Macaca mulatta: one gene and its partner. The protein of the gene in region 1 interacts with the protein of each later gene in a biochemical or structural test. Links are inferred from orthologs where the notes say so. Each region holds a gene or a part of one and is shown in the gene's direction. Other genes may lie near its edges.

Region 1 (7,086 bases):
CTCCTGCCTCAGCCTCCCGAGTAGCTGGGACTACAGGCGTCCGCCACATCGCCCGGCTAGTTTTTTGTATTTTTTTTTTTTGAGACGGAGTCTCGCTCTGTCGCCCAGGCTAGAATGCAGTGGCGCGATCTCGGCTCACTGCAAGCTCCGCCTCCCGGGTTCACGCCATTCTCCTGCCTCAGCCTCCCGAGTAGCTGGGACTACAGGTGCCCACAACCGCGCCCGGCTAATTTTTTGTATTTTTAGTAGAGACGGGGTTTCACCGTGGTCTCGATCTCCTGACCTTGTGATCCGCCCGCCTCGGCCTCCCAAAGTGCTGGGATTACAGGCGTGAGCCACCGCGCCCGCCGTATTTTTTTTTTTTTAGTAGAGACGGGGTTTCACCGTGTTAGCCAGGATGGTCTCGATCTCCTGACCTCGTGATCCACCCGTCTCGGCCTCCCAAAGTGCTGGGATTACAGGCTTGAGCCACCGCGCCCGGCCAATGTCCTGTTTATTAACGGAGGCGGGAGAGCTGGAAAGACAGGAAGTTGTGGAAGGAAGGAGGGACATTAAAGGTGGGGCCTGACGGGAAACAGTGGTTCCCAGTGATGCCCAGACCCAGGGAGGGGCTTTGGGGCAGGTTCACTGGAGAAACGGGGAAAAATGAAGGTCCCAAAAACAAAAGACAGACTGTCAGAGCTAGGGCCCGGGATGGCTCTTCTATAAGAAATCTCAAACCCCATTGGCAATGGCAGAAACTGCGGTAGGAAAAGTTCCAAGTGAGGAGAGTGGGGACAGTGGCTGGTGGTGACAGGAAGGAAACAGGCGGAGGAGGCACTCGCCAGGGAAGACCTTGCGCCCCTTCAGCGACCTGCTCACCGCCACGCCTGCTTCCGGATTCCTCCCCGCCGGTCCCGGCTGCAGTGTAGGGAAGGCCTGGGCCGGGGGCGCCCCCCAAGGCTGCGGAACAGCTATCACGGGAGCCGGCACACACCCAGTAACCACCGCTGGGGCCCGCGCCACGTGGCTGCTAGTTTCCATCCACCCCGCTTTGTAATGCTGGGCAAGACGCTTTATGTTGATTTCACACACTCTTAAAGGGTCCCAGGCCGCAGTCTGAAAACCCCTGCTCCTGAGTAAGTTGGTTTCCCTAGAGACCAGGAAGCGGAGGTAGTTCCGTCGTTTGTTTACACGGTAAGGAGCTTCCAGATTATTCCGAGGACCTGGCTATGAGTTTAGGCAGGAGGAGGCCCAATCATGGGAGGCGCCAGAGAGGAAGAGGACATGGACGAGGCATGGGAGCCAAGTCTAAGGAACCCCAACACCTCTAAGGTTCTCATAGCTGGCCTTGACCAAAATATCTGAAAATTCTCATGTAGAAACTGGTTCTTCCAGCCTGAGCAACATGGTGAAACCCCAACTATACAAATAAATACAAAAACTAGCCGGGTGTGGTGTCCGCGCTTGTGGTCCTCCGCCCGCGCTCGTCCCAGTTACTCGGAAAGCTGAAGTAGGAGGATCACCTGAGCCCGGGAGGTCGAAGCTGCGGTGAGCCAAGATTGTGCCACAGCACCCCAGCCTGGGCGACAGAGGGACAGCCTGTCCAAAAACAAAAAAACACCAAACCTGTCTTTTAGGGAAGGTTAATCACCAAAATGTCAAGTGTTAGATACTTAATTTGGAGACCTCAAATCGATCGGCAAAACGATGGGCTTTTAAAAAGCATGCCGGGTGTAGCTGGGTAAGCATGAATTTATTCACCAAGGGCCCGATTCCCAAGCTAAGGGACCCTGAAGTGTGAAGGACATGGCTTCCGGGGAACCCAAAGGTAGGGAGCGCTCCTGAGCCAGCAGTGGGTCTGGAGACTCCCCGAGCGCGCAGGCCGCGGGACGGCGTCCCCTGCGCGCAGCAGCTAGAAGCCAACAGCCCAAAGGCCCCCAGGGAGCAGAGCCCCGCGATCCCGGCGCCGCCTGCGGCTGGATTTTTTGGCAGCGGGCGCGCCGTCCGTGAGGATGACGGCTCCGGTAGTCTCCCGGGCGTGCGAGACCCGGGGCGCTCCCCGTCCACGCACGGCCCTCCCTCCAGGCGCGCCTCCCGCCCCAGCCCCGCATTCTGCGCAGCCCGGGTGACCAAACTACACCTCACTTCAAAGGCCCCCACGCCCGGGCGTGCCCTCCGCCCGCGCTCGGCAGGTGGGAGTGCAGGGAGGAGGGCGCGGGCGGCCCCAGAAGGCGCCCGGACCTTCCCGAGAATTCCAGGCCGCGCAGGCGCATTGAGGTCGGCGCGGGGGCGTGCGAGAGGCGCGGGGCGGTGATTGAGGGAAGGTTTCCCGGGCTGGGCCATGAGCAGGGCCTGCGCGCGCCAGCGGGAGGGGCGGGCCACGGCGAGGGCGCAGGCGCAGGCGCGCGGCCGCGGCGGCGGTTGGGGAGGGTTCTTCCGGAAGGTTCGGGAGGCTTCTGGAAAAAGCGCCGCGCGCTGGGCGGGCCCGTCGCTATATAAGGCAGGCGCGGGGGCGGCGCGTCAGTTGCTTCAGCGTCTTGGTGCTGCTGTGCCGTGGAACGTTTGCAGCCTTTTAGCCAAGGTGTGAGGGGCGGTTGTGGGGGCCTGTGGAGGTGGATTGGGGAGTGGGGGCGGTTGGCGCGGAGCGGAGGCTGTGGGGGCCGAACGGGAGCCCTGAACCCGCCAGGGCCGCTCTCCCGGGAGGCCGCGCTGCCTATTCCGGAGGCCGTGGGCCCGCTGCTGTCTCCGCAGCCCGCCTCAGGAATGGGCTGGGCGGCTGCTCCCCGAGTCTCCGCGGCAGCCCCGGAGCTGGCGCCGCACGCGAGCAGAGCGGCCCTTTGGCTGGGGGCCCCCCGGGCGGCCCAGCTGGGGCGCAGGCGGAGGAGGCCGCCCTGGCGGAGCCGCGGCCCGCGCGGGAGGGCACACGGGGTGTCGGTTGGGGACCGCGGCGCGGGACTGGGCCGGGCCTGCAGTGGCCTCCCGGAAGCGCGCACACGCTCGTGGTAGTTACCGCGCTCCGAAATGAGGTCATCCTTTGTCAGCCGCCCTTCTATTTTCGGTTTACTTAAACTTCGCAAATCTGCAATCCGGCTTTAAAAATATTGGGAGGACGCGATGGAATCTCGTGTTGCCCCTGTAGACGCCCTGCAGGGTTTTAAACCGGCGCGGTGTCGTTCCAGATGCCTGAGGAAACGCAGACCCAGGACCAACCGATGGAGGAGGAGGAGGTTGAGACGTTCGCCTTTCAGGCAGAAATTGCCCAGTTGATGTCATTGATTATCAATACTTTTTATTCGAACAAAGAGATCTTTCTAAGAGAGCTAATTTCAAATTCATCAGATGTAAGTCGTTTATTAACCCAGAATAGGATTTTGGTTTCAATATGAACTTCTTGGGGGCTGTATGCTTAATTAATATTTTGTGTTAATAGGCATTGGACAAAATCCGCTATGAGAGCTTGACGGATCCCAGTAAATTAGACTCTGGGAAAGAGCTGCATATTAACCTGATACCAAATAAACAAGATCGAACCCTCACTATTGTGGATACTGGAATTGGGATGACCAAGGCTGACTTGATCAATAACCTTGGTACTATCGCCAAGTCTGGGACCAAAGCGTTCATGGAAGCTTTGCAGGCTGGTGCAGATATCTCCATGATTGGCCAGTTCGGTGTTGGTTTTTATTCTGCTTATTTGGTTGCTGAGAAAGTAACTGTGATCACCAAACATAACGATGATGAGCAGTACGCCTGGGAGTCCTCAGCAGGGGGATCATTTACAGTGAGGACAGACACAGGTAGGTACCTGAACACTCACTGGTTAAGTCAGTGGCGGAATGGTGGGGTGTTGCAACCCTTGGACCCCTGGGGATGCGGCGAAGTTCACAGAAAGTGTGTTTACCCAAGGATCAGGAACAAGCTAGAGCTCTGAATTAGTGTGTAATGGCATGACTTGGTGATTACTTCTTTTGGGCAAGGCACTTAGATCTGCTGTGGGAGCCTTTGCATCTGTAGTAAGGGCAAACCTCGCTTCATAGACACGTTATAAGGGTTAAGCATGGCGTTGAGCACTAAATTGAATGTATTATTGAGTCAATTTTCCTTATTTCTCTTGCAGGTGAACCTATGGGTCGTGGAACAAAGGTTATCCTACACCTGAAAGAAGACCAAACTGAGTACTTGGAGGAACGAAGAATAAAGGAGATTGTGAAGAAACATTCTCAGTTTATTGGATATCCCATTACTCTTTTTGTAAGTTTCTACATAATTGCAGAGTGAATTACTGTCTGTAGGTGACTGGGGTGACTGTACTACATCCTTAGTTCCTAGGTCTGTTGAACTAGTTTGAAGCCTGGGGAACCTAAGCTCTACTAACTGTGAAGGTTCCTCGGGTTATTAAGTAGATATATCAAATATTGATGAGAAGCTGCCTGGCTGCTTCTCATCCTCGGTAATTTAGGCTTTGGCCTTAGGTTGAAAGTAGTGGGGCAGCGCTATGACTTAGTTCTAGAGTGCAGCAGTGATGCGATTTCATGTCTTTTGAAGGTGGAGAAGGAACGTGATAAAGAAGTCAGCGATGATGAGGCTGAAGAAAAAGAAGACAAAGAAGAAGAAAAAGAAAAAGAAGAGAAAGAGTCTGAAGACAAACCTGAAATTGAAGATGTTGGTTCTGATGAGGAAGAAGAAGAAAAGAAGGATGGTGACAAGAAGAAGAAAAAGAAGATTAAGGAGAAGTACATCGATCAAGAAGAACTCAACAAAACAAAGCCCATCTGGACCAGAAATCCCGACGATATTACTAATGAGGAGTATGGAGAATTCTACAAGAGCTTGACCAATGACTGGGAAGATCACTTGGCAGTGAAGGTGAGTGAGGGACTGATGGATGCTTCAAGCTTGTCTTTAGATTATCATCCCACCACCCCAAATATCTGCTATAATGCATTGTTCATTGATACTTAGTGTGTTTGTTCTATTACAGCATTTTTCAGTTGAAGGGCAGTTGGAATTCAGAGCCCTTCTATTTGTCCCACGACGTGCTCCTTTTGACCTGTTTGAAAACAGAAAGAAAAAGAACAACATCAAATTGTATGTACGCAGAGTTTTCATCATGGATAACTGTGAGGAGCTAATCCCTGAATATCTGAGTAAGTATAGATAGGAAAAATAATCACTGTCACTGATTAAAGAAATACTTCTGGCTGGGCATGGTGGCTCACACCTGTAATCCTAGCAGTTTGGGAACCCGGGGTGTGCGGATCACTTGAGGTCAGGAGTTCAAGACAAGCCTGGCCAACATGGTGAAACTCCATCTCTCCTGAAATTAGAAAAATTTGCCCGATGTGGTGGCAGGCTGAGGCATGAAAATAGCTTGAAAACCCCCCTGGGAGGCAGAGGTTGCTGTGAGCGGAGATTGCACCACTGCCTTCCAGCCTGGGCAACAGAGTGAGACACTGTCTCAAAAATAATCTCCTATCATCTCCAGGTTCTTGTCTTTGCTTTTGGGGGTTTACATAGTACCAGTTTTGTCCTTGGAATGACTCAGTGCATTTGATTTTTATATTTTTTTCAGACTTCATTAGAGGGGTGGTAGACTCAGAGGATCTCCCTCTAAATATATCCCGTGAGATGTTGCAGCAAAGCAAAATTTTGAAAGTTATCAGGAAGAATTTGGTCAAAAAATGCTTAGAACTCTTTACTGAACTGGCGGAAGATAAAGAGAACTACAAGAAGTTCTATGAGCAGTTCTCTAAAAACATAAAGGTTGGTGTAAATATTTGACCATTGGTAGTTTTCCTGCTGGCCTCTTTTTAGATTTCTTTTTGAATTCAGAGAGTCTTTAGTAAAGAACATACTTTGTTTTAGCTTGGAATACATGAAGACTCACAAAATCGGAAGAAGCTTTCAGAGCTGTTAAGGTACTACACATCTGCCTCTGGCGATGAGATGGTTTCTCTCAAGGATTACTGCACCAGAATGAAGGAAAACCAGAAACATATCTATTATATCACAGGTAGGGGGACGCTATGTTACAGTCATATACGTCGTTCTTATAACCTTGTAGGCTCTGTGGGTGTGTTTTCTACTCAGGTAGCACTGTTATAACTGGCGTTGATCTAGGCAAGATAATTAACATGAACTAGGTCATTATTTGTCTTAGGTTCTGCCTAGGTATCTGGCTAGCAAAAGTTAGAAGTAGATGAAGCCATTCTTACTGTTAAAAGGTCTAAAAGTAACTTTGTAATACCTCAGGTGAGACCAAGGACCAGGTAGCTAACTCAGCCTTTGTGGAACGTCTTCGGAAACATGGCTTAGAAGTGATCTATATGATCGAGCCCATTGATGAGTACTGTGTCCAACAGCTAAAAGAATTTGAGGGGAAGACATTAGTGTCAGTCACCAAAGAGGGCTTGGAACTTCCAGAGGATGAAGAAGAGAAAAAGAAACAGGAAGAGAAAAAAACAAAGTTTGAGAACCTCTGCAAAATCATGAAAGACATACTGGAGAAAAAAGTTGAAAAGGTATGTGAATACAGCATTTCCTGATCATTGATACCTCTAAGGTGTTTTCAAGCTTAGTCATACATGACCCATTTTTCTTTGCTTTCAACTTAAAATAGAAAACTATGTCGTGTATGGTTGGGCGTGGTGGCTCACGCCTGTAATCCCAGCACTTTGGGAGGCTGAGGCAGTGGATCACAAGGTCAGGAGATGGAGACCATCCTGGCTAACACGATGAAACCCCGTCTCTACTAAAAATACAAAAAAATTAACCAGGCGTGGTGGCGGGCGTCTGGAGGCTGAGGCAGGAGAATCTCCTGAACCCGCAAGGCAGAGGTTGCAGTAAGCCAAGATTGCACCACTGCACCTCCAGCCTGGGTGACCAAGCAAGACTATCTCGGGGGAAAAAAAAGGTGGTGTACGTAAAACGAAATTAATTATAATCTGTGCTCTTTGACTACCTAATGCAACATTTAAGTTCTATTTAATAGTATTTCGGATCTATTGTTTGGGTTCTTCAGATTTCATTTGACAATGAAAGTTTAGGGTTTAATCTTTCTAGGCTCCTAGTCATCACTTCTTGATTACAGGTGGTTGTGTCAAA
Region 2 (7,419 bases), on another chromosome or scaffold:
AAAGTTGTGTGGACTGGCTGGGCGCGGTGGCTCATGCCTGTAATCCCAGCACTTTGGGAGGCCAAGGTGGCTAGATAACCTGAGGTCAGGAGTTCGAGACCAGCCTGCACAATCTGGTGAAATCCCATCTTCACTAAAAATACAAAAATTAGCTAGGCATGATGGGGAGCGCCTATAATCCCAGCTACTCAGGAGTCTGAGGCAGGAGAATCACTTGAACCCGGGAGGCGGTGGTTGTAGTAAGCCAAGGTTGCGCCACTGCACTCCAGCCTAGGCAACAGGGTGAGACTCCGTCTCGGGAAAAAAAAAAAAAGCCTGACATTCAGTGCCACCATTATTTCGTTGTGACCTACCTTTTTTTTTTTTTTTTGACACAGAGTCTCACTCTGTTACCCAGGCTGGAGTACAGCGGTACAATCTAGACTCGCTGCAACCTGCGTCTCCTGGGTTCATGAGATTCTCCCACCTAAGACTCCTGAGTAGCTGGGATTATAGGCGCACCATGCCCAGCTAATTTTTGTATTTTTAGTAGAGATGCGGTTTCACCATCTTGGACAGGCTGGTTTCAAACTCCTGGCCTCAAGTGATCTGCCTGCATCGGCCTCTCAAAGTGCTGGATTACAGGCATGAGCCACCGTGCCCGGCCATGACCTACCTTCTTGAACATATCTTGAATTTACTCCCTTACACTCTGGACTACTTAGGCTAGAGATTGGCAAACTACAGCCTGCACACCAAATCCGGCCCCCCTGTCAGTTTTCGTCTGATGTAAGAGTTACAGTTTTCACTTTATTTATCTATTTAGAGACGGAGTCTCGCTCTGTTGCCCAGGCTGGAGTGCAGTGGCGCGATCTTGGCTCACGACAACCTCTGCCTCCCCTGTTCAAGCGATTCTCCTGCCTCACCCTCCAGAGTAGCTGGGACTAATAGGCACACCAAGCACACCCAGCTAATTTTTGTATTTTTAGTAGATACGGGGTTTCACTATGTTGGTCAGGATGGTCCCCTCTCTCTTGACCTTGTGATCCACCTGCCTTAGTGTCCCAAAGTGTTGGGATTACAGGCCTGAGCCACGGCGCCCGGCCTAATTTTTATTTATTTATTTTTTTGAGACGAAGTCTCCCTCTGTCGCCCAGGCTGGAGTGCAATGGAAGACTCTTAGCTCACTGCACCCCCCGCCTCCTGGGTTCAAGCGATTCTCCTGCCTCAGCCTCTGGAGTAGCTGGGATTACAAACGCCCACCACCACGCCCTCTTAATTTTTTCCCCCCATACAGAGTCTTGCTCTGTTTCCAGGCTGGAGTGCAGTGGCGCGATCAGCTCACTGCAATCTCTGCCTCCCGGGTTCAAGCAATTCTCCTGCCTCAACCTCCCGAGTAGCTGGGATTACCAGCACCCACCACCACACCCGGCTAATTTTTTTTTTTTTTTTTTTTTTTGAGGCGGAGTCTCGCTCTGCCGCCCAGGCTGGAGTGCAGTGGCTCGATCGATCTCGGCTCACTGCAAGCTCCGCCTCCCGGGTTCCCGCCATTCTCCTGCCTCAGCCTCCCGAGTAGCTGGGACTACAGGCGCCCGCCACCTCGCCCGGCTAATTTTTTGTATTTTTAGTAGAGACGGGGTTTCACTGTGTTAGCCACGACGGTCTTGATTTCCTGACCTCGTGATGCGCCCATCTCGGCCTCCCAAAGTGCTGGGATTACAGGCTTGAGCCACCGCGCCCGGCCCTAATTTTTGTATTTTTAGTAGAGATGGGGTTTCACCACGTTGGCCAGTCTGATCTCAAACTCCTGACCTCGTGATCCGCCTGCCTCGGCCTCCCAAGGTGCTGGGATTACAGGCGTGAGCCACCGCGCCAGGCCAACTTCCCTTTTTTTTTTTTTTTTTTTTTTTTTGAGACAGGGTCTCACTCTGTCGCCCAGGTTAGAGTGCTCCCTGCAACGTCCACCTCCTGGGTTCGAGCTATCCTCCCGCCTCATACTCCCTAGTATTTGGCATTACAGGCGCGTGCCACCACGCCCTGCTAATTAGTAATTTCAGTAGAGATGGGGTTTCACCATGTTGGGCAGGTGAAACTCCTGACCTCAGGTGATCCGCCCACCTCAAGCTTCCCAAAGTACTGGGATTACAGGCGTGAGCTATGGGCGCCCGGTCCAAAATGGCATTTGAGCTAGGGTCCAGTTTTCGTAGCTCCCACTACCTGTCGTGCACAACATAGACACTAAATACCTTATTGCTTATTATGAAGCCCCGTTCTTCAGAAACGTTTTATAGCACTTTCGTTAAACCTCCTTCCTGTTCATAATGCAGTGCACTAGAGTATTTTTCCCATACTCCACCGTTAAGTGGCCTCTTGGTAAGCAGGACTGTTTTGGGTCTCTTGGTTACTATCCCCTAATACACCCTATTAGTGTGTTGCACGAAGCGACGGGGAACCCGTTCTCCCCCAAATGATGTGCGTGGAGACACCCAATGTCCTAGCCTCTCCATTCCCAGAAACCTAAGACTCTCCCACCAAATATCCTTCCTGTCTCATCTACAGCACTGAGGTCTCAAGGTAGGGGCAAAAGCCCGCCCCAAATGGCAAATGCTCCTCCTCCGCCAAGAACCTCCAATTTCCGCTGTCCCTAGACAGAGCCTCCAACCTTCAGAAAAATGGCGAGGTAGACCCAGGCCCTTGATTCTGAAGTGAGCCCTTTTCCACAGCACAGCCTTTTCACAGGTTTTTGTGGTGGAATGATTCCTCAGTGAACTGATTTACTCCCTCAAGAGTAACCAACGCTCCATTTTAGTTCTATAGGATCCTGACTCCGTGTCCCTCCGCCTCGGCCTTGCCTCCCACTGCCAACGCAGCCGTTTCTCAGAGAAATCGCCCAAGGCGCATGGCCGGGCAGTTGGGACACCAACGGTTTTCTAACGCGAGAGGACAGCGAGGGAGGAGAGGCGGGAACGCGTAGCGACTAGCAGGGGGCGGGGTGGGGGTGGGGTGGCGGACGAAGGGCGGGGCCGACGCCAGGAAGGATCGCGAAGGAGCTGGGAAGCCCCGCCCTTTCCGTAGATATCTCTAGAAAGCCGCGCCGGACCCCGAAAACAAGGACTGCGCACGCGCGGCGGTAAGGCCCGGGCATTTTGCTGCGTCACCAGCCGCCGCCCGGCCTCACCACCCCTCGTTTGCACGCACGCACGTTCATTCTCCGTCCTCGCGCCCGTTTTCCTACACTTTCCTCTTCTCCCCGACCGGAGGAGCCGCTCTTTCCGCGCGGTGCATTCTGGGGACCGAGGTCGAGCCCGCCGCTGCCGCCGTCGCCTGAGGGAAGCGAGAAGAGGCCGCGACCGGGGAGAAAACGCGGAGTCGCCACTGGAGAGAAGTCGACTCCCTAGCAGCAGCCACCGCCAGAGAGGCCCGCCCACCCGTTCGCCCGTCCCCCTGCCCCGTTCACAATGTGAGTGCGACACCCCGCCGAGGGAAGGTCGCCCAGAGTGAGGCCGAGGCCGCGTTGGGGGCTCCCTGGAAGCGGCCCTTGCCCTCCCTCTGCTTTTGGCCCCATAGCCTTTCTCGCATCGGTGGTGGCAGTCGTTCCTGCCTGGGGGCGGGAGGTCCAGGATCCTTGTTCCGGTTACCGTTGGCGGGTGGAGGACATTTTTCCTCCAGATGTCTGCTTCCCCCACCCCTGAAACGTCCCTTGGCTTCCCTATACCGGAAATCCTACTTTTTCCCTCTTTGGCTGTCTGGGCTACTGGCTTCCTTAGGTAACTTCACCTTAGGCCTTAAGCTCCCCGGAGCTGCTCGCCATGCGGCGCCGTGAAGCGTGAACCCTCGTGGGTCGCCTCGGCTGCTTGGGCGCTCCGGTTCTGCTGCTTTGTGGTCCCCGGGCCAGGCCCTGAGTCGAGTGCACCTGTGGTGGGTGCCGCCAGTTGCCTGGCGGAGCTCCTGGGAGAGCCCCACGCGGGCCTAGCCGTGAGCGGCAGGTACTGCTAGGCAACTAGAGTGAAGCCATGCCCACGCCGCAACATACTTCTCTCTCCAGTGTCTGGGTTTCTTGAGTGTGGGTACTTGAAGTCCGCCTCGTAACTCCAGTCTCTTGAAAACACGGGAGGTTGCCAAAACTCAGCCGCTTCCCTGGCAGCGAGGAGGAGTTACCGTTGAGCAGGTAGTTCTGCACGTGTCTGCTTTGGAAAGACACGGACATTTTCTGTGTTCCATGTTAAACCTGAGGTGAGGTTTCACTATCCTGTAACTGTGGGGTGAAATATGTATGTAATAGGCGTGTAATTAACCTACTGTTGTCCTAAAGAGTTTAAATTTGTGTTGAGATTCTATGGTAGTCTTCATTTTATGATGATAAAGGAAACCTCGGCGATTTTAACCGAGTAAGAATTCTTGGCACTGCCACGTACAGTGGGAACTGCCGGTTTTACAGGGTTTTGTTTTAGTTTTTGGTTTTTTTTTGACGGGAGGTTATTTTTTAAGGTACTAACTGCGTCCTAAAAGGTATGGAGAGCAATTAAGGGGGAACCTTTTTTTAAAAAATATTCCATTCAGAAGAGATGAGAGGGAGTGACTTTGTGGAAAAGTAAGAAGGGTTTGCTTGATTCAAAGTCATGATACTGACGGCTAGAAATCTAAAGGAATGAGTGAGGGATACACTGAAGCGAAGTTTATCACTGGAAACAAGCTTCTAGAGCACAGCATGTTAGAATTTTTGAGGGAGCCCCCTCCCCGAGAGTGATACGTAATCGGGGTTTTTAAAAGTTTGAATCAGGCTGGGCGCGGTGGCTCACACCTGTAATCCCAGCACTTTAAGAGGCCGAGGTGGGCGGATCACCTGAGGTCGGGAGTTCGAGACCAGCCTGACCAACATGGAGAAACCCCGTCGCTACAAAAATACAAATATTAGCCGGGCGTGGTGGCACATGCCTGTAATCCCAGCTACTCGGGAGGCTGAGGTAGGAGAATCGTTTGAAACAGGGAGGCAGAGGTTGTGGTGAGCCGAGATCTTGCCATTGCACTCCAGCCTGGACAACAAGAGTAAAACTCCGTCTCAAAAAAAAAAGTATATAAAATAGCTTTTGTTTTTCCCTTTGAAATCTCTCATAAGTAATGTAGAAGGGACATCAGTCTTAACCTTTCATACTCTGAAAATCTGTAAGGGAAAATTTTTGTCAGATAAGGCATTAAGCAGCTTTTAATAATAGAGCCAAACAACATATCTTTTCGTGAAAAATGTTTAAAATGGGCTCGAAGTAGAAGCACTTTCTGGAGGGCACATGAGATATCTAAATAGGTAAGGAACGGCTAAGTTAGGAAAGTAAATTTAAAAACTTGGGTGAAAAGTGTAAGGCCAGGCGCGGTGGCTCACGCCTGTAATCCCAATACTTGGGAGGCTGAGGCAGGTGGATCACGAGGTCAGGAGTTAGAGACCAGCTTGGCCAATATGGTGAAACCCCGTTTCTACTAAAAATACAAAAACTAGCCGGGCGTGGTGGTGCACTCCTGTAGTCCCAGCTATTCGGGAGGCTGAGGCAGGAGAATCGCTTGAACCCAGGAGTCGAAGGTTTTAGTGAGCCGAGATTGCGCCACTGTACTCCAGCCTGGGCAATAGAGGGAGACTCCGTCTCAAAAAAAGTAAGTGTAGCAGTAGAGAGACAATTCCAAAAAGCAGCCTCTCTAGTTAAAAAAAAAAAAATGGTACCTTCATGCCGGGCGCGGGGGCTCACGCCTGTAATCCCAGCACTTTGGGAGGCCAATGCGGGCGGATCACGAGGTCGTGAGATCAAGACCATCCTGGCTAACACGGTGAAACCCCGTCTTTACTAAAAATACAAAAAATTAGTCAGGCGTGGTCGCAGGCGCCTGTGGTCCCAGTTGCTGGAAGCCTGAGGCAGGAGAATGTCGTGAACCCGAGAGGTGGAGCTTGCAGGGGGGATCGCGCCTCTGCACTCCAGCCTGGGCCACACAGTGAGACTGTCTCAAAAAAAAAAAAAAAAAAAGCTACCTTTAAAACGAGTGATGCGGCCGGGCGCGGTGGCTCACGCCTGTAATCCCAGCACTTTGGGAGGCCGAGGCGGGCGGATCACAAGGTCAGGAGATCGAGACCACGGTGAAACCCCGTCTCTACTAAAAATACAAAAAAATTAGCCGGGCGCGGTTGTGGGCGCCTGTAGTCCCAGCTACTCAAGAGGCTGAAGCAGGAGAATGGCGTGAACCCGGGAGGGGAAGCTCGCGGTAAGCCTGGGGGACACAGCCAGACTCCGTCTCAAAAAAAAAAAAGTGTTTTGAAGAGACCAGCTAAAATATTATTTTAAAAATATTCAATATATTCCATTTAGTAAATTCTTCAGGGACTCTTACCAAGCTAAAGACTTAAATGAATTTACAAAATAAAAGTTGTAAGTCAGTTATTTGAGGTGGAAGAAGCTTTTAATGGGTCGTCATCCAGTCTTAAGAATCTGGCTGGTAAGGGCTTATTTCGTTGATAACTTGTTTTAAAAGTGTGGTAGTGTTTTGTTTTGTTTTTTTTTTGAGACAGGGTATTGGTCTGTTGCCCAGACTGGAGTGCAGTGTCGCGATCTCAGCTCACTGCAAACGGTACCTCGTGGGCTCAAGCGATCCTCCTTGCCTCAGTGTCCGGAGTAGCTGGGACTGCCGGCAAGCACCACCGTGCCTGGCTAATAAGAAAAATATTTTTTAAGCTCTGGGAAGAGATATATTTATGCTGGGTGCCTTAAGGGCTTGGGAGTGTGTTTTCTCATTTGATTTACCTATTTGCTCTTTAGCGATTTCGTAGTTACATTTCTTTAAATCTTAGGTTATAAAAGTTTGTCTGATAGTTTACATAAAAGCTCTTAATTTCGAACCTATCTTGGAGAAGGCTGGGATTTTAGGACCTTCCCCCACTTAAGATTTTCCGCTTAACCTTGCCAGAGGGTGCTACTTCGCATTTTTTGAATCATTGTCGTTGGACCAATTAAAAACAGATGAAAAGTAAAATGTTTTATTTACTTTACCGATATTTTAAGTTACTGTTTTTCCTGTTTAATGTCTTGTATGTAATTAGGAAGTTGTCCAGAAACTTGCATCTCTGATTTTAGTAAAAATCTTACTTTCCCTCACTCAGCTGTGTAGGAATGAATCCCTGAAATAAAGTTGTCCATCTTTAGCCTGCAAAACAAATTGTCAGAGTGAACATAATGCTATATTGTTAATTTCTATAACTTTCTGATGGTGGGTGGCCTTTGTTCAATATTGATTTCCTGTGCACTGTAACCTGGCAACTGGAGTTTTAATTTTTCTTCCTGTGTTCAGTTAGACTTTTAACTAGAAGGCAGTAGAAACTGGAAGTGAAAAATCTCTTGAGTGTAAGCCAGTGTTTTATTGCTAAATTAAGGTTCTCCTGCCTAATTGAATTTTCTCAGTTTAAAA

Evidence for each region.
Region 2: the proteins of HSP90AA1 (region 1) and PTGES3 form a complex in vitro, tested with the Homo sapiens proteins (10 studies listed by BioGRID). The link is inferred for Macaca mulatta from reciprocal best matches to the Homo sapiens genes HSP90AA1 and PTGES3.

Annotation. Positions count from the first base shown.
Region 1 is NC_133412.1:175,435,927-175,443,012, reverse strand, and holds the start of HSP90AA1 (heat shock protein HSP 90-alpha), read left to right. Parts: upstream 1-2,504; 5' UTR 2,505-2,563; intron 2,564-3,161; coding exon 3,162-3,323; intron 3,324-3,412; coding exon 3,413-3,779; intron 3,780-4,099; coding exon 4,100-4,233; intron 4,234-4,527; coding exon 4,528-4,848; intron 4,849-4,963; coding exon 4,964-5,129; intron 5,130-5,554; coding exon 5,555-5,745; intron 5,746-5,847; coding exon 5,848-5,995; intron 5,996-6,234; coding exon 6,235-6,503; intron 6,504-7,072; coding exon 7,073-7,086. UniProt on the Homo sapiens protein: Molecular chaperone that promotes the maturation, structural maintenance and proper regulation of specific target proteins involved for instance in cell cycle control and signal transduction.
Region 2 is NC_133416.1:63,859,142-63,866,560, reverse strand, and holds the start of PTGES3 (prostaglandin E synthase 3), read left to right. Parts: upstream 1-3,188; 5' UTR 3,189-3,437; coding exon 3,438-3,439; intron 3,440-7,419. UniProt on the Homo sapiens protein: Cytosolic prostaglandin synthase that catalyzes the oxidoreduction of prostaglandin endoperoxide H2 (PGH2) to prostaglandin E2 (PGE2).